Linked DNA regions of Tribolium castaneum. The protein of the gene in region 2 purifies or fractionates together with the protein of the main gene of each other region. This does not show direct contact. Links are inferred from orthologs where the notes say so. Each region holds a gene or a part of one and is shown on either strand. Other genes may lie near its edges.

Region 1 (7,860 bases), about 390 kb from region 2:
AACTCTGACTGAACGGCTGAGTCTGCTCCTGACTCAAAGTCTTGCCCTTCTGGCGCATTGTCGGTTTGCGAGTGCGGGAATTCTGCTGTTGGCGCGCTTGCATGGCCTGCTGGTGCTGGTTGTAAAAACGTGGCGGAACATCGGCCATATTCATAAACACGCCAACTGGAACCGGCAAATTCATGCCAGCTTGAGCCCTCTCTTGAGAAATGTAACTAATCGGGTCGTGAGTCCTACTAAAGATATCCAATGGAACAGCCCCACGAGGATAATTAAACTGGCCATTAATGGCAGTATTAGTCCTGTCATAAATCGAGCCAGGTACCATTGCCTCCCGGGCATCAAACATCGAAGTCGTCATGAAATGCGAGCCCGGATTATCCGAATTTGTCAGTTTTTTCGGTTTTGCAAACTGAATCAGCGACTCCTTCAAGTTTGTCAAAGGTCCCTCAACTAGGACTTTCTGTTCTTTGTAGAACGACAAAAGATGGTTCCAGAGTGGTTGTTTTGATAGTACTTTCGGGTTCCCGACTATTATTATTCCGTATTTAGCGCGAGTTAATGCAACGTTGAGACGTCGAGGATCGTTTAAAAATCCAATTCCTTGATGTTCATTTGAACGCACACATGACATTATAATTATATCTTTTTCACGTCCTTGGAACGCATCGACACTTGCAATTTCAATTTCTTGATAAGTCTTACTATGAAGTGAGCCTTGGTACTGCATGTATTGGACCAAGTAAGCTCGCTGACCTTCATATGGGGTTATAACACCGATCTGTTCCGGTTTAACTCCCGACCGCAAAAATCTGTAAAAAAGCAAATTAAAAAAAATAGGCAAACAGAAAAAAAACCAAATGATTTTCGTACCTAGTGGCGATCTTTTCGACATTAGCTGCCTCAGTTCGGTTCAGATAACTAGTCCCAGACCCGGCAATTTCCTCCTGCCCTTGGGTCACGTGGAAAAACATGGGCCTGTCAATAACCGGCCATGGAAAATCAATCTTGTTCAACTTCCTTTCATCGGCACAAACTCCATTTTGCAAACTCCCTTCATAGAAAAAATTGGAGGGAAAACGCGACAATTCTGGATGCATCCTGTATTGTACTTCCAAGCGAAACGGTCGAATTCCCAATACCACCAACCTCTCAAACAAACTTTGGGACAATCCAGCCCTTGCTGCTTTCTTACACATAACAACTGGACCCAACTGACAATGATCACCAACCAAAATCAATTGTTTCACTCCTAGTACCACCGGTACCATACATTCGGGTTCAGTCGCTTGCATACTTTCATCAATCAGAATCGAATGAAATTTCAAACGAACCAATCGTGGATCACCTGCCCCCACACAAGTACAACAAATAACATCGGCAGCTTCGAGTAATTCTTTCTCAGCCAATTTTTTCAACATTCTGTATCGTTTCTCATCAACTGAACTCAACTCTCCAGTCTCATCTTTCAACTGTTGCAACTTCTGGAGTTCAGTATTGGCTTCCATTTTACGTATCTGATTATGCAATGCAAGAAAACTCACAGGCGAATCAATCGCTTCGCGTGATTTCGCACACAATCTTACAACTTTTAGATTAGTTTTGTGAATTTTTTCGGTAAGTTGGTCAACTGCCGTATTACTGGGAGCACAGACTAGGACTGGACCGCCGTTTTGTTTCACCAATTGATAGACGATGGTGGCGGAAGTTACGGTTTTTCCCGTTCCGGGAGGACCTTGGATGAGGGAGAGTGGACGCTGGAGGGCATGTTTGACGGCGTAGACTTGCGAACGGTTCAAGTCGGGAAGATTAGGTGCCGAAAAATGTTTAGGGAGGTGACAACGGAAAAGGACCTCTTCGACCTCGTGGCCGAGGAGGCGGTGGTAGATGTAGGCGGAAACGGATGTATCGTCAACGGCGAATTTTCGCAAGGCGAGTTGCATCCTGCAATTAACAATAAAGGCGAGCTCAGAAAAAAACGACGTGAAAACTTGTTTTCACATAATTATTTTTTTAATTAAATATTCTTAGAAACCTTATAAAAAAATTACCACATTAATATAGCTTGAAATATCAACGCTTAAAATTAACATCTTACAAAGATTTTTTTAACATTCGGAAATAAGAAGTGAAAATGCGTCACTTCTCTCATGCTTTTTTTTTAATTACTGTGATTTTTAAAATAAAGTTTGATTGTAATATTATACTTATATTTAATGTGAAAGTTTATAACAATGGTACTTTCAACGTTTGACTACTAACAGTAAAACATTAATTAAAAAAATAAATAAAAAATGTGATACATAAAGAGATTAACGTGATTATTTCTGTTTCTATCACAACAACGAAATTTACCTGTCAAAACTGGTACTTTTCCAAATGAAATCCACCACAAAGTTGCTGTTACAATCGGTGGGAGCCCCATTTCCGTTCTTCAACTCAATGCCAATATCCTCTCCGTAATTATCAGGAACTTTGATAACGTGTCCCACCCCCGCCCATGATTTATGCATTTCTCCCACGTATCTAAGTCTCAACTCATCTCCGTGCATTAATTTCATATCCCCGTCAGTTTTAGCAAGAGTAAAATACGCAATTGTTTTCTTATTCAAACCCACATCCCACCTAACTTCAATATTTTCCTGAGTCTGAGACTCCTTCAATCTTTTATCATAATCAGCTTCAAGCTTAACAAGAGGACCAAAAATGTTTTGGTACTGATAACCGTCCTCATATCGCAATAAAACCTACCAAAAAAAATTATAATAAATACGTTAGAACTGTGCAAACAAGACTAACTTGTTGCGGTTCTTCGTCAACTCCTGGCCGTTCCAAATCCTGGAACGTGGCATCAACATTATCTTTCCAAAGTTCTTCAAGTTTGTTGATTTGTTGGGCTGAGATTTGGCGCGCTCGCAGTTGTTCCTGTTCTGATGGTATTTTTACAAGCCATGTGAGAAAACACCGGTCGGTAATGAGTGGTTTCCATTGGTCTTGATCCCAGTTCATGTCCTATTAAAAGCTTGAAAACTGTCCTATTTTAAAAGCAATGACTTACTTTAAGTGAGTTTTGGGCGGCACAAGGTTGGCGGCAAAGTAGCACCACAACAGAGTCAGCTTTGGCAGGAATGAACCCCAAAACAAAAACATTGCGGACGCCACAACTGTAACATTCAAGGATTGTCTCGCCCAAAGGGCCGTCCTTGTGTAAGGTCACTTCCTTGTGTTTGGCTCGGACCTAAACCCCAATCAAAAAACAGTTTCCAAGTTGAAATTCCTCACCAAATGGTTGATTATGTGGCTTCCTGAGGTGTTTCCTCTCCCGTTACAAAACCACTTTTTGCAGCAGTTGCACATGACAACGCAATTCGGCTCATGAATGCCGCAGTACTTGCACGCGTAGTTCGGGAGCTCCTTGCTGTTGAAATACTCCTCATCCTCTTCCTCGAATTGCAGTTCCCCTAAAGCACTCGTCGCATTGGCGATTTTGTTGTTGATGTTGTTGTTGAGCTAAAACAACAACGTCATACGACACTGAACCAGGGGGCGACCTTGCACTAACCTGTACACCGGAAACTTTGGGGCCCGCGTGGTCGTGCTGCGAGGCTTGCGTTTGCGATGGAATTGTGAAATCGGTGAATTCGCATTCGGATCCTTGGGTGTCAGCCCCGATCAAGTCGTTTTCTTCGGTCTCTAAAAACGTGAGAGTTTGCGAACTGGGGCCGTATGCGTCGACACTCATCTTGGAGATTTCGTCGCGAACGAATTGAAGCACGGGTTTATTCACGTTTACTGATGAAACACTTTTAACACTTCAATTGATGACAACTCGACTATGGTTACTTTAAAATTTCTACATTTTTCTCCTGGCAAGCGCCATATTTTCCTGATTAATCATTTGTTTTTTTATCGTCATTTCTCTTTCCGAAGCATAATTGACGGAGCGGGAAACTTAAACACTCGTGCTATCTTTTTCAGTTTTTAGCGCACTGATCTTTTTTATGGCCTCAAAATTAAAAAGTGGTTTAGGAAATAGATTATTGCACAACCTTATTGTCTAATTTAATCCCTAAGCTTTTTTTCGTTGGTTGGCACGGTGTTATCATTGTGGTTACCATCTTATCGGAGTGAGACACGTATCGCAATCTTTTAAGTTAAAGAGAGATAAGCATATGTTTGATTGTAGAAGTGGCTAAGGCTGCGTCACTTTATGATTTGATTTTTCACTTTTTTGTAAATTTTACATTTAAACATTATTTTTATTATAAAATTATAGCATAAAGTTTATTGATTTTTCGGTTTTTATTCAACATTCAACACATGACTGCAAAAAAGAGGCATATCAAAATAAAAAAAACACATTTTTCAAAAACAGCCGATTTTTCAGTGAAATTTTATCGGTAATAAGTCAAAAACATAAAATGATGTTCGTTTTAAAAGAACGTAAATTTACGAATGTTTTTGTCGAAATAAATAAAACTAAAAAACGTAATAAGTTTATTGAGTAGATGACCAATAAAACAACTGAGCATTTGGTTTTGCCTACCTAATTATTAAATTAAAAATGGACGAAAAATGGCGAAATTATTATGATTTATGATTATTGAATTTGATATTGCTATTACAAACTTTATCCATAAAAATAGAACGTGGACTCAATAAAAACATTATCAAGAAATGACTGTATTTTATTAAATTAATAGAAATCACACATGCTCTTTATTACAACTGGCACTCCTTATTTTTTAATTCTTCTCATGTTTAAGTAGCTTGCGGTTACTTAAATGCTCACGTATCATTCTGGTTTCCCACAGATACATAATAAATATTACGATGATATAATTGATAGTTTGAAAACTGTTAACTTTTTATTAGGTTTTTGTACAGCGACAATTCAACACATCTATTAATAATTTATTAAAGTTTTACTGCATTATGACCCAACTCATAAATAGTATTGATTACAAATTCCCAACTACACTACAATGAGTATTGTTACAAAATATTTCTTAAACACGTCTCTACATGGCTTGCATTTCATAGCTGATAAGAGATTCCACTGGACTGAAAGATTTTTTTGGACAATATGTGTCCTAACTTCTTGGGTAAATCCCACAAATCGTCAAATTTTTACCACAATAAAATAGATTCACAGGCCGCATCGATTATGCTAATGTTTAACGCACTAGACCAGTATCAAAACCAAAAAATATCCTTTTCAGTGGACACATCTTACTTAAATTGGCAAACAAACTTTCCTTCAATTGTTATTTGCGAACGATCAAATCCAAAAAAAATGCTCGAAGCTAACAAGAAGTAAGTTAATTGTGATTTTCTTTGTTATAACTCTCTCTGCTCGAAGAATTTTCGGTTCCATATCTCAACAGTTCCCCAAACTCGAAACCTTCGTTTTCTTCGACGGTTCCATAAGACACACGCAAGTTTGCCAACCAAATGGTGCTCTACGTGACAAATGCTTGCTAACAAATTACTCGCAATACATGCATAAGGTTGTGGTATTTTCCCAGTTAACATAACTGCACTCGTTTAATTGCAGTTCCGCAGCACTTGTTCGGAAGCAATTAGTTCGTGCTTTTACAACAACGAAGAATTTCCCTGCTGTGACGAATTCTTGCCCATTGACACTTACCACGGGCCTTGCTTTGGCTTCAATTCTCTGGTTTCAGGGTACTTGCCTTTTATTTCACCAAACAAATTTAAAAATAATTTTTATTAGAAAATACACAAGTCGGGAAGACCTCCCTTTCAAAATAACGCGCGACTCAAATTTCGGTTATGGCAACTTATCAGTTGAGCTGTACCATGATGGGTTCATTGTGTATGGGTTGAGCCAAGACTCCGTCCCTACTAAGGAAAGTTCCAGCGAGTTTGTGTTGCTAGATTCACGCACAAGCTCGGGAATTGTTGCTAAAACAGCCTACAAGGCGTTTTTATCAGTTAAAGTAAATTGATTACATTTGAGTGACTGTTTTACAATTGTTACAAAGGAAACTTTCACGGACGAAGCCGCCAGGTTGATGAAAATCGCAAATCGTGGTTGTCGATTTTACGATGAAAATAACTTGCAACATGCAAAATTGTACAGTACTTCAGCTTGCGTGAACGAATGTCTTGTTGAAGCCCAAAGGGAGATTTGCAATTGCACTTATCACATTTTACCACACAATGGTAACAAGTCGGTTCATAAACTATTAATTAAAACTACTTTCTAGATCAAGTCAAAGACTGTGATTTTGAGGGGCTTTTGTGCACAATTGATAACAAGAAAGTTAAGGAGAAAACAACTTCTTGCAGTTGTACGAGTTCTTGCTCCGACGTTGAAGTCGTCAATATTGGCTTTACAAAAACTCCAATACACTCGAGTCAGTTCCGAAATGACAAAAGCCAGGTTCGAATTGACTTTATCGTTTATCCTCCGACTTTACGTTACAGCCGAAGTGTGGTGAAAACGCCACTTACCATGCTTGGTAAATTTAAAATTTAAATTGATTACCAAATTGGTTCTAGTTTCAGTTGGTGGTTCTGTTGGTTTGTTTGTGGGTGCAAGTTTGCTCACAGTGGTCGAGATTATTTATTATTTTTTCGTGCGTCCGCTTGGCGACAAATACATAAAACATGAAAGGAACAAAGAAATAAAAAAATCAGAGATTGATAATAATTTAGATTCGTTTTATTATAAGTACGGCACTTTGTATGAATTTGTCAATTAGGTGCAGCTTTTAATGAGGCGTGAAATGCTTTCTTCCAGCTCTCACAATAACTGCAGTAAATCACACACGACTTTCACGTTTTTTTAATTTTTTTCGATGAAAGAAGAAAAATCTTGGCGCGTCAAGGCCTCAATTAGCATTCTGGGAAATAAATTTTGAATTATTCATGTTCCAGACGGCTACGTTGAGATGGGAATTGAGACAAGGCTAATAATCCATTGTTGCCTTTTAATAAAAGTCCAACGTCTGTCTGCATCACGCGATTATTTACCTACAGATAACTGTTTTCCTTGTAATAATTTGTCGTCGCACATTTTTCGAAGCAAACTTACGCAACTAACAGGATTTATCACAAGAGAGCGAAAGAAAGTCTATTGTTTGGGACGGAATCACATTACGAAATGTGGACGTGGTTACGACATTTTTCTAGAGTAATTAGCAAAGTTTTGAATATTTCCAAACTGTTCCGAATTGGATGATCACGATAATTTGTTAATTGTTTAGCGAGAACAATGGATAACAGGAAGAATCGTTTTAAAAGTACTCACGAACCACCAATGAATGAGGAAACAAGAAAAACGAAAGTTAGAACGGCTGGCACTGAAGATGGCTAATTGGAGCATTTCTGTTACTTTGTTGTTACAAAATTAATTATTAGAGGTTGTTGACCATCACCATGTATCGTAAATAATCGTTCTGTTGTTAATTGTGCCAGGCCACAAATGGTATAGTTTCTCGATGTGAATATAAATTTCTTTATTATTATTGCGCTTTCCTTTGGAATACGATAACAATTAAATTGTTTCACTGTCAATAAAATTGTGAAATATTGTACCAATAAAACGATTTATTTGCAGTTTTCTTCTTTTCTTAAAATTAAAAAACACTAAGCTTTGTTTATGAGAGTAAAGAAACGACAAAACTAAAAACACGAAAGTCCGCTTAATTTTTTTCGCATTGAAATTCTACAGCTTTGTGCAAAGATTGATGTCCAGTTGCATTCCACCCAAGAAACATCCTTGTTAAATACCAAGGTCGTCTCAGCTACTCTTGTTGGATTCTTAAAAATTCCATCGTTTATTTATAAATAATGCAAATTTAAATCTTGGACTTTTGGACGATTTTTATA
Region 2 (7,680 bases):
TTAAACTAGTGTTTGTCCCAATAACAACACTTGTGTGTTTCAGTGTCACCGGAAACTGTAGTGGTGCCAATAATTTCCTGTATCTTGGGATTTCCTCTTCTCGCATTGTTAGTAATCTGTTGTTTGCGAAGAAGAGCCAAACTAGCTCGAGAACAAGCTCGCAGGCGCAACTGTGATATTGAACACGGTACATTCTCTATTGTCAGGTTCAGCCCAATACACTATTTAGGTAACTAGTAAACAATTGAGTTTCTTCAGTTTACTACTTTTTCTCCTTGGTTTGCCCATTATTACGTACGTTTGATTCGACTTTTTCCGCTCGAATTCTTGATTTGTGTTGTTATTATGGTTTTATTTATACACCCCACCACATACACAATGAACAAATAGGGCCTGCTGTATTTTGCACCAAGTTAATTCTTTTAATTAATGTTTTTCCGAATAGGGCGTTCAACACGAGCTGTTTCGCTAAGATCCGAAAGGGCAATGAGTCGAGGTTTTCCCTCTCTAGAACTCGATACAGTCGTTGAAGAACGTTCGGATCCAGAACCGGAAGCTACAGTTATTGAAATGATGACACCTGATGGTGATGATTCAGACAGATAGCATAAAGAGGTGTGCGGTGCTGACAGGTAATGACGACAAACTTTACAATTTCTCTTTACTTGAATTCGAGTTTAATTTATACAAAGTTTGTCTAAGTTGAGTTGAATTGACGTGGGTAAGCCTCAAGCATGAAATTGCTTACACACTAAAACTCGAAAGGTCGCTGTAGGTAGATGTACATAATAAAACTTAATCTCAGGCAACTCTCTTAACGTTTATTTCAGTTGAATTAAAGCAAAAACTTTCGACGAAACACGCTTTTATGTTTTTACGATGGATTCAGAAACGAAAAAGAAGAAAAACTGTGTTACAGGTCTCCCCTTTGGACAACTTTAACGCACGCACACACCTTCGCCATTGATACCAACAGCTGACCCGAGGATAATGAAAATCCTGATGATCCTGTAGTACCACAAATTATACCCTTGCCCTTCATTAAGGGATATTAACGTGATTCCAATTAATATCAAAATTTTAATTAATTCCATAGAGAGTACAAAGATAGACGACGGCAATTAAAACCGAATTTCTAAATAAACACTTGCTTTAAAACACAACAAAACCAGCTATGAGTATAAATAACTTGTACATACGTATGCTATATTATTCTTGCTTTTAGAATTAACACAAGAATGGAATTTTTTAATAGACGTGTAATTTCCCTAAAGACTATCCTTGGTGCCAAGTAGGAGAAAAACACGTTTTTGTACATAAATCTATGTTTAGAAAATTTTATATCAGACTATGCGGACTGGAAATCTACAATTCCTTAAATGTTGTCATTTTTTTATTTATTTCACATTTCTTTATTGGCAGTTGAATAACTAACCACAGCACTATGGAATTGTTAGTAAAAACTGTATAAAATTTACTATTTATTTCAATTGTGATGTAATGTTTTGAGTGAATAAATTATCTGGTTTCAATTTGTCTTGTTCTTAAGTTATGCGAGTTTTATAGTGGGTTCATATTTAATAGTTATTTATGTAACAAGTACGCAAAATAGAGTTTTAGCGGACAAATCGGATTAATGAGATGAGCCCGCTAAAACTATTTTGCGGAAGTGTTGCATACAAACTTTTGGTACCAGTTCTCTAAAACGAACAAAATTGTAAAATTCTTTACGTTTACAATCCACCTTCATCATAAGTGCAGTCGATCGATGGTCATAGCGACGACTGATTTATTGAAACAATAATTATTCTTTTGTCAAATAATAAATAAATTAGAGTCCGCAAAGTGTTGCTACGACGACTTTATGTACTTGTCCTTTAAAATGACATTTTGTGGAGGCAAAGCAGTTCCCAAAGTAACTATTTTAAGGAGCGTGTAAAAAAAAACATAAATAAAAACAAAACTGATTTATTAACTGTTACGAATCCATTATTTCACTATGACCAAGTAACTACTATAATACACCTATCTATAAAACTAAACATCACTTTTTTGCGATTGTTGCTGTTCCAATAATTGGGCTAACGATTGGGGTCCTTGTCCAGTAAACAAGGAATGTTGAGGCAAATGACTCACTTGATTATCCTGTGCCTTGTTATTCCTCAACTGTCCAACTAAATTCGGCGTCCAAGTGTTGGTATTAAACAATGAATAACCAGGAGATGTTGTGGGATTTTGCATGAAATTATCATGACTCTTCAAAAAAAAATGCATATATATATATATTTTGTGCACGTGTCGCATACATTTTTTTTCTCCAAACTTACAGGTCTTGAAGGTGGTGTCGCCTCTTTAAGCATCGTCTGTCTCATCGACAAATTTTCATAATTCATGTTGCTTTCAAGTAAGTTAGTCCTTCCAAAAGTATTCCATGGTGAATTAAACATATCGCCGGCTGCTTGATTATTTTGCGTCTTATTATAATCGGGCACATAGGGCATATTATTGCTAAAGGGATAATTTACGAAACTATCAGGTCGTTGTTGGTAATTCTGTGACGTGTTGGGCCACCAAGGCGAATTCGTTTCCTCCATTTTGTAGGGGTTTCCCCCGGGAAATTGATAGACACGCTGATTGAAATTATTTTGAAATGGAACCATTGATGGATTCTCAGTTTTGGGAGGGAAAACAAATGAATTTGGCTGTGGAGGTTTCGTTACGTTCCGGAGAGTATTGAGGTAATCAGGTTGGCTGGGAGGAGGAGGAGGAGGAATAGGGAAAGCTGGATGGTTCTGGTTGAAGGATTGGGTTCGCAAAGGGGGATTAAACGGAGAAGGCTTTGTGTCAAAAGTCACCAATTTTTCTTTTTCTTCAACTTTAAATTTCACCTAAGGATAATCAAGTGTTCTTGGTGCATTAAAATCTCCAATTTTTTTTTAAACAATTGCCATATAACACGTTGCCAACCTAATGAGCTTGAAACAACTAGTAGATTTAAGTGGTTCATACTAGTTCGTTGTTAGTTGACAATTGTTTTAAAAAAATAATGAACAAAAAGAAGCAACGACCTACCTGTTTATTCTCTTCCAGTTTTTTAAAAATCGACTGCAGAGCAATGTTTTGCTTGGATCGTTTATTTTTTGAAATGTCTTTTTTGCTACTACTTGAGGACGCACTTGAATTACTTAAATCGGACATGAGACTTTGTTCTCCCGATGATAATAATTCGCGTTCTTCGCGCGATTTTTCCAAGGAACCTTGTGGTTTTAAAATACCGCCCCGTTTTTCAAAACCTACTTGAAACGTCACTTTTAGTAAAAAACACAATTTCACGCACCTTTTTTATTAGGAATTGTTGAAATATCAGTGACATGAAATGATTTCATTTCCTCCAATAAGTCATTAGTTGGGTCTGGCTGAATGCATCCAGGTTCAAAATTAATTAAATCACTTTCGGTACTTCTACAAATTGAATTTTATATTTCAAAACTTATGAAAAGAAAACGACTTACGTCGTAATTAATTTCGTATGATTCACATCCAACTTGCTGATAAATAAACCAAAATCAATCAAACGCTGCATTCGGATTAAATTATCAGTTTTTTCATCCTCGACACCCGCCTTAAAATCCAACTCTTTGAAATTTTTTATCAAAGGCCGAAAGCCTTGCAACAATTTATCTTCAAACAGAGGCACATTGGCATCTACCAGTTATGTTTTATTAAAAAAAGTCACTCATAATTACGCAACTTACATTTGGTGTAGTCAAAGTTTTTCATGTATTGCTGTACGTTATTCAAAAGTTTGCACAAACTGGGCCAAATTTGCAACCGATTAGTAAAAACAACTTCGTTAAGAATTTCCGATTCGTTCATAATCCAACATGTTAAAAGTTTCACTAAATAAAAATAATTAAAATTTAAAAAAAACGCCACAATGTTTGTCGTACCTGCAGGAAGTGCGTAATAATCCAACAAGCTTTCGTCATTTTTTAGCGTATGAACTGGAATAAGAAACGCGCTCAAAGACCCAGCCAACAAATCCAAAATTTGTTGTCTGACAATTTTTTCATCTTCGGTTAATTCATCAGTGAGTGATGTTGAAGTTACATGTTTTAAAGCGTACAAATTAATCGCAGTAATTTTTATTAATTTCTCTCTTGTAAAACTTTGAGTCGCTACTAAAGCTGTCATTGTTGTATTTAAACTTTTAACCCCGACTTCAGCTTGGTTTAAATCGGTGGCAGTGTGCAAGAGGGCGTGAGTGCACAAAAAAATTTGAATAAACTCGGTTACCGTTATTTTACTGTGAATTTTTTCTAATGGACTAAAATTTATTTTTTACTTGAGAATTACTTTTCTAATCTAATTACCTTTCTTTATCAAGCGACGAACTTAAAGTGCTTAATAGATTAGTGGTGGATGCTGGGAAGGGATTTTTCACAGCAATGCCCCTAATGTAATAAAAGACAGTTGATAATTTATCACCTTGACTTGCCTCCAAAAGAGCCAACTGATTGTAAGGATGACCACTAGTTGGAGAAACTAAAATTGCTTGCCTGAAATAAAATTATAAAATGGGGACCCAAAAAAAAAAAAATAATAAGTACTTGTAAAAATTTTCAGCTTGCTTTCTTTGGTTTCTATAACGTGCAATATCTCCCAAATGTACCAAGCAGTATTGGCAAATGTACACACAGGAGGACGATTGAGGCAAATTGAGTTCATTTGAATTTGTTTCCCCATAAACATTTCCGCGTCTTCTGAACGGTAAATCAATGTCATATACGTTGCACAATTCGTGCAAAAGTGTCAAATAAAACCCAGAAGCCGCTTCTAAACACCAAGTTAAAAGTGCCTGACATTCAGATCTTCTGACGTTCTGAATAATTTAATTAAACTAACAACACAAATCGCAAAATATTATTACTAACTTTTTTATCGCGAGTCAACTCTTGTAACACCGAGATGTGATTCTTAAAACCAATGTTCCACAAGTCTTGCTCCACTTTCTTGTCGAGAGCGTATTCCAAATCAAGTACCAATGCTTGATGGTAAATATTTTGCAATTTCTGTTGGTCCGTCCATGCTTGCGAATCCGATAATAAATCGCTTTTTTTTAATACCTTGGTTTTTAAGTCTTCGGCTTGTCTGAAATATGAGTTGATGTAAAAATGAATTAGTTTTTTGAGCAACGTACTTTAGAATTTGAACAGCTGCTTTATAACCCATTCTCAATTTGATAGTTTGGGTAAATGTATCAAGGTGTAGAAATTATTGGGTATGACCTGATATCATGAATATCCATCACTGGAATAAATTAAAAGCGAAAATGTGTACCTGAAATCAACAATTTTGCGAGTTTGAGGTTAAGATGAAGTTTGAATGCGACATTGCAACTACTTTTCGTTTTTATAATTTCACTTAAGATATCAAATTTTTTTATTTGAAGCTTTTTACATAAAAAACATTATAAAAAAAAAACAATAATTGGTAATTAATTAATAATTGTACCCAATTTTCGATTTAATAATAATTCCTACATTGTAGTTGTAATGTCGTGATAGTTCTTTTGGCTTGTCACATTATTTTGGATTTTTCAGTTTTTGGAAAAATAATTAATTGATTGGTAAATGGTAGCGCAGCTATTTACTAAAATGGCAACTTTTAAAATACCGTTTAAAAACACGGTTCTTTTTAGTAATACCTTTTTTAAGGTTATGTCACACTCGACTCGACCATGATTTAAAATAAAACTTTTTTTGTAGACTTTTAATCGTACGCATTTAACACAACACCAGACAAAAATACTAGGTAAAGGTCTTCCGGTGAAAAAGCCAATTGAAGGGGTCAAACACACAATTTTAGTGTCGTCTGGGAAAGGGGGTGTTGGTAAAAGCACGACTTCAGGTTTTTATTTTTCATGGCGCTTAATGAGGTTAAAATAGATTTAATTTTTAGTAAATCTTGCAGCTGCGCTAAAATTTGCATATCCAGATAAGAATATTGGTTTGTTGGATTGTGATGTGTTTGGTCCTTCAATTCCTTTAATGATGAATCTGCACGAAACACCTTTATTAAATGATAAAAATCAAATGTTGCCCCTTACGAATTACGGCATAAAATGGTAGATTTCGAATAGAATGAGTGTTTATTTTGTTTTTTTCATAGTATGTCAATGGGTTTTTTGATAGCTGAAGGTACGCCTGTGATTTGGAGAGGTCTTATGGTGATGCAAGCTTTAGAGAAATTGTTGAGACAAGTTTATTGGGGGCGTATTGATTATCTAATTGTGGACACGCCTCCAGGGACTGGCGATACTCATCTCTCATTGGTTCAAAATATTCCAATATCGGGCGTCATTCTTATTACAACGCCACAATTGGCTGCTCTTGACGTCACAAAACGCGGAGCTGCGATGTATAAAAAATTATCCGTTCCTATTATTGGTTTAGTGGAAAATATGTCGTCAGTGACTTGTCCTTCTTGTCATAACACTGTTCAAATTTTCGGAGCGGGAACTTCAAATTTGGCCAATGAAATAGGTACTGACATTATTCAAAGCTTTCCATTGGACCAGAATATTTCGTCAAGTACTGATCAAGGTACGCCCACTGTGATAAAATATCCGCGTAGTTGTCAAACTGATTTGTTTGTAAATTTAGCAAAAAAAGTTGTAGATTTTTTGGAACGAAACAATGAATAGTGAAAAATATGTTTTATTAATCCTTGCAACAACCCATAATAAAACCTACTTAAAATACATTTAAATCATAACGATGGAAGTATAGTTGAGCATATATTTTTGTATCCAAGTACGTACGTTTTGTTTTTTGTGGTTGGTCATAATGAAACTTAAATAAATTACACATTATGTACATTTTTCTTTTAAATTATTAAAAATACAACTTCATACAATCAATTAATAAAGACAGTAATAGAAAATAGGAAAATTCTTTAAAAATGAAATTGTTCAGTCACAATAATTTTGCTCACTAAATAACTTAAATTACCATCGTTTTTTGTGCTCGTCCATTGAAACCCCTCCTGGACCTAAATATACAATCATGAGAAGACCACCAATCACCGACAAAGTCTAAAAATCAAGAAAATGTATAATTACATAGATACTTAAATGTTGCGCTCACCTGGAAGAAGTCATACTTCAAAAAATCACGTAATGGCTTATACGACGGAATGTTCCACCAAGCATTATGATAAAAGTTCAACGTTGTGAGTAACAAAACCAAAATTAGCGCTGATAATTTCGTTTTGTACCCTACTGTCACTAAAACCATAAGTGCTGATCCCAACAAATCCAACAAAATCTGAAAATAATTATTGTAACAAAATAATAATAATGACAAGAGAAAAAATTAAATTAAATTGTTAAGATATTAGAAAACATAATACCTACTCAAAGAATACTAAAAAGTTATAATTGATTCTTTTTCATTATCAACAGGTTGGCATTACCATAAATAGTATTTTTTTAATCACGGTTGGTGGTAATTTTCATCTGAAAAATTTAAGTTGGTCTTCAAGTTACAACCAACCACGTCGTATACCCAACGTTCAAATCTGGTGTGCAAAATGTTAAATAAAGAATACAGTTATTTTCAAAAGTGTTTAGACACAAACGATACAGTCTGGAATTTTAAAATTCACAATAAAATAAAG

Evidence for each region.
Region 1: the proteins of nonsense-mediated mRNA decay factor SMG7 (region 2) and regulator of nonsense transcripts 1 purify together in Homo sapiens (affinity purification with western blotting; 7 studies listed by BioGRID and IntAct, with this or other methods). This does not show direct contact. The link is inferred for Tribolium castaneum from reciprocal best matches to the Homo sapiens genes SMG7 and UPF1.

What each region holds. Positions count from the first base shown.
Region 1 is NC_087397.1:525,291-533,150, reverse strand, and holds the start of regulator of nonsense transcripts 1, read right to left. Parts: upstream 4,076-7,860; 5' UTR 3,743-4,075; coding exon 3,563-3,742; intron 3,511-3,562; coding exon 3,283-3,510; intron 3,239-3,282; coding exon 3,059-3,238; intron 3,013-3,058; coding exon 2,800-3,012; intron 2,748-2,799; coding exon 2,356-2,747; intron 1,945-2,355; coding exon 874-1,944; intron 813-873; coding exon 1-812. Other genes in the region: sodium channel protein Nach, read left to right, coding at 4,986-5,105, 5,156-5,316, 5,363-5,510, 5,558-5,688, 5,738-5,963, 6,009-6,189, 6,234-6,488, 6,529-6,731. UniProt on the Homo sapiens protein: RNA-dependent helicase required for nonsense-mediated decay (NMD) of aberrant mRNAs containing premature stop codons and modulates the expression level of normal mRNAs.
Region 2 is NC_087397.1:134,659-142,338, reverse strand, and holds nonsense-mediated mRNA decay factor SMG7, read right to left. Parts: upstream 5,379-7,680; 5' UTR 5,233-5,378; coding exon 5,201-5,232; intron 5,152-5,200; coding exon 4,935-5,151; intron 4,883-4,934; coding exon 4,611-4,882; intron 4,560-4,610; coding exon 4,374-4,559; intron 4,328-4,373; coding exon 3,951-4,327; intron 3,900-3,950; coding exon 3,756-3,899; intron 3,706-3,755; coding exon 3,513-3,705; intron 3,463-3,512; coding exon 3,338-3,462; intron 3,294-3,337; coding exon 3,073-3,293; intron 2,889-3,072; coding exon 2,307-2,888; intron 2,257-2,306; coding exon 2,038-2,256; 3' UTR 1,953-2,037; downstream 1-1,952. Other genes in the region: uncharacterized protein LOC103312184, read left to right, coding at 44-229, 446-606; iron-sulfur cluster transfer protein NUBPL, read left to right, coding at 5,634-5,717, 5,769-5,910, 5,962-6,127, 6,172-6,706; Surf4 (surfeit locus protein 4 homolog), read right to left, coding at 7,010-7,096, 7,149-7,328. UniProt on the Homo sapiens protein: Plays a role in nonsense-mediated mRNA decay. Recruits UPF1 to cytoplasmic mRNA decay bodies.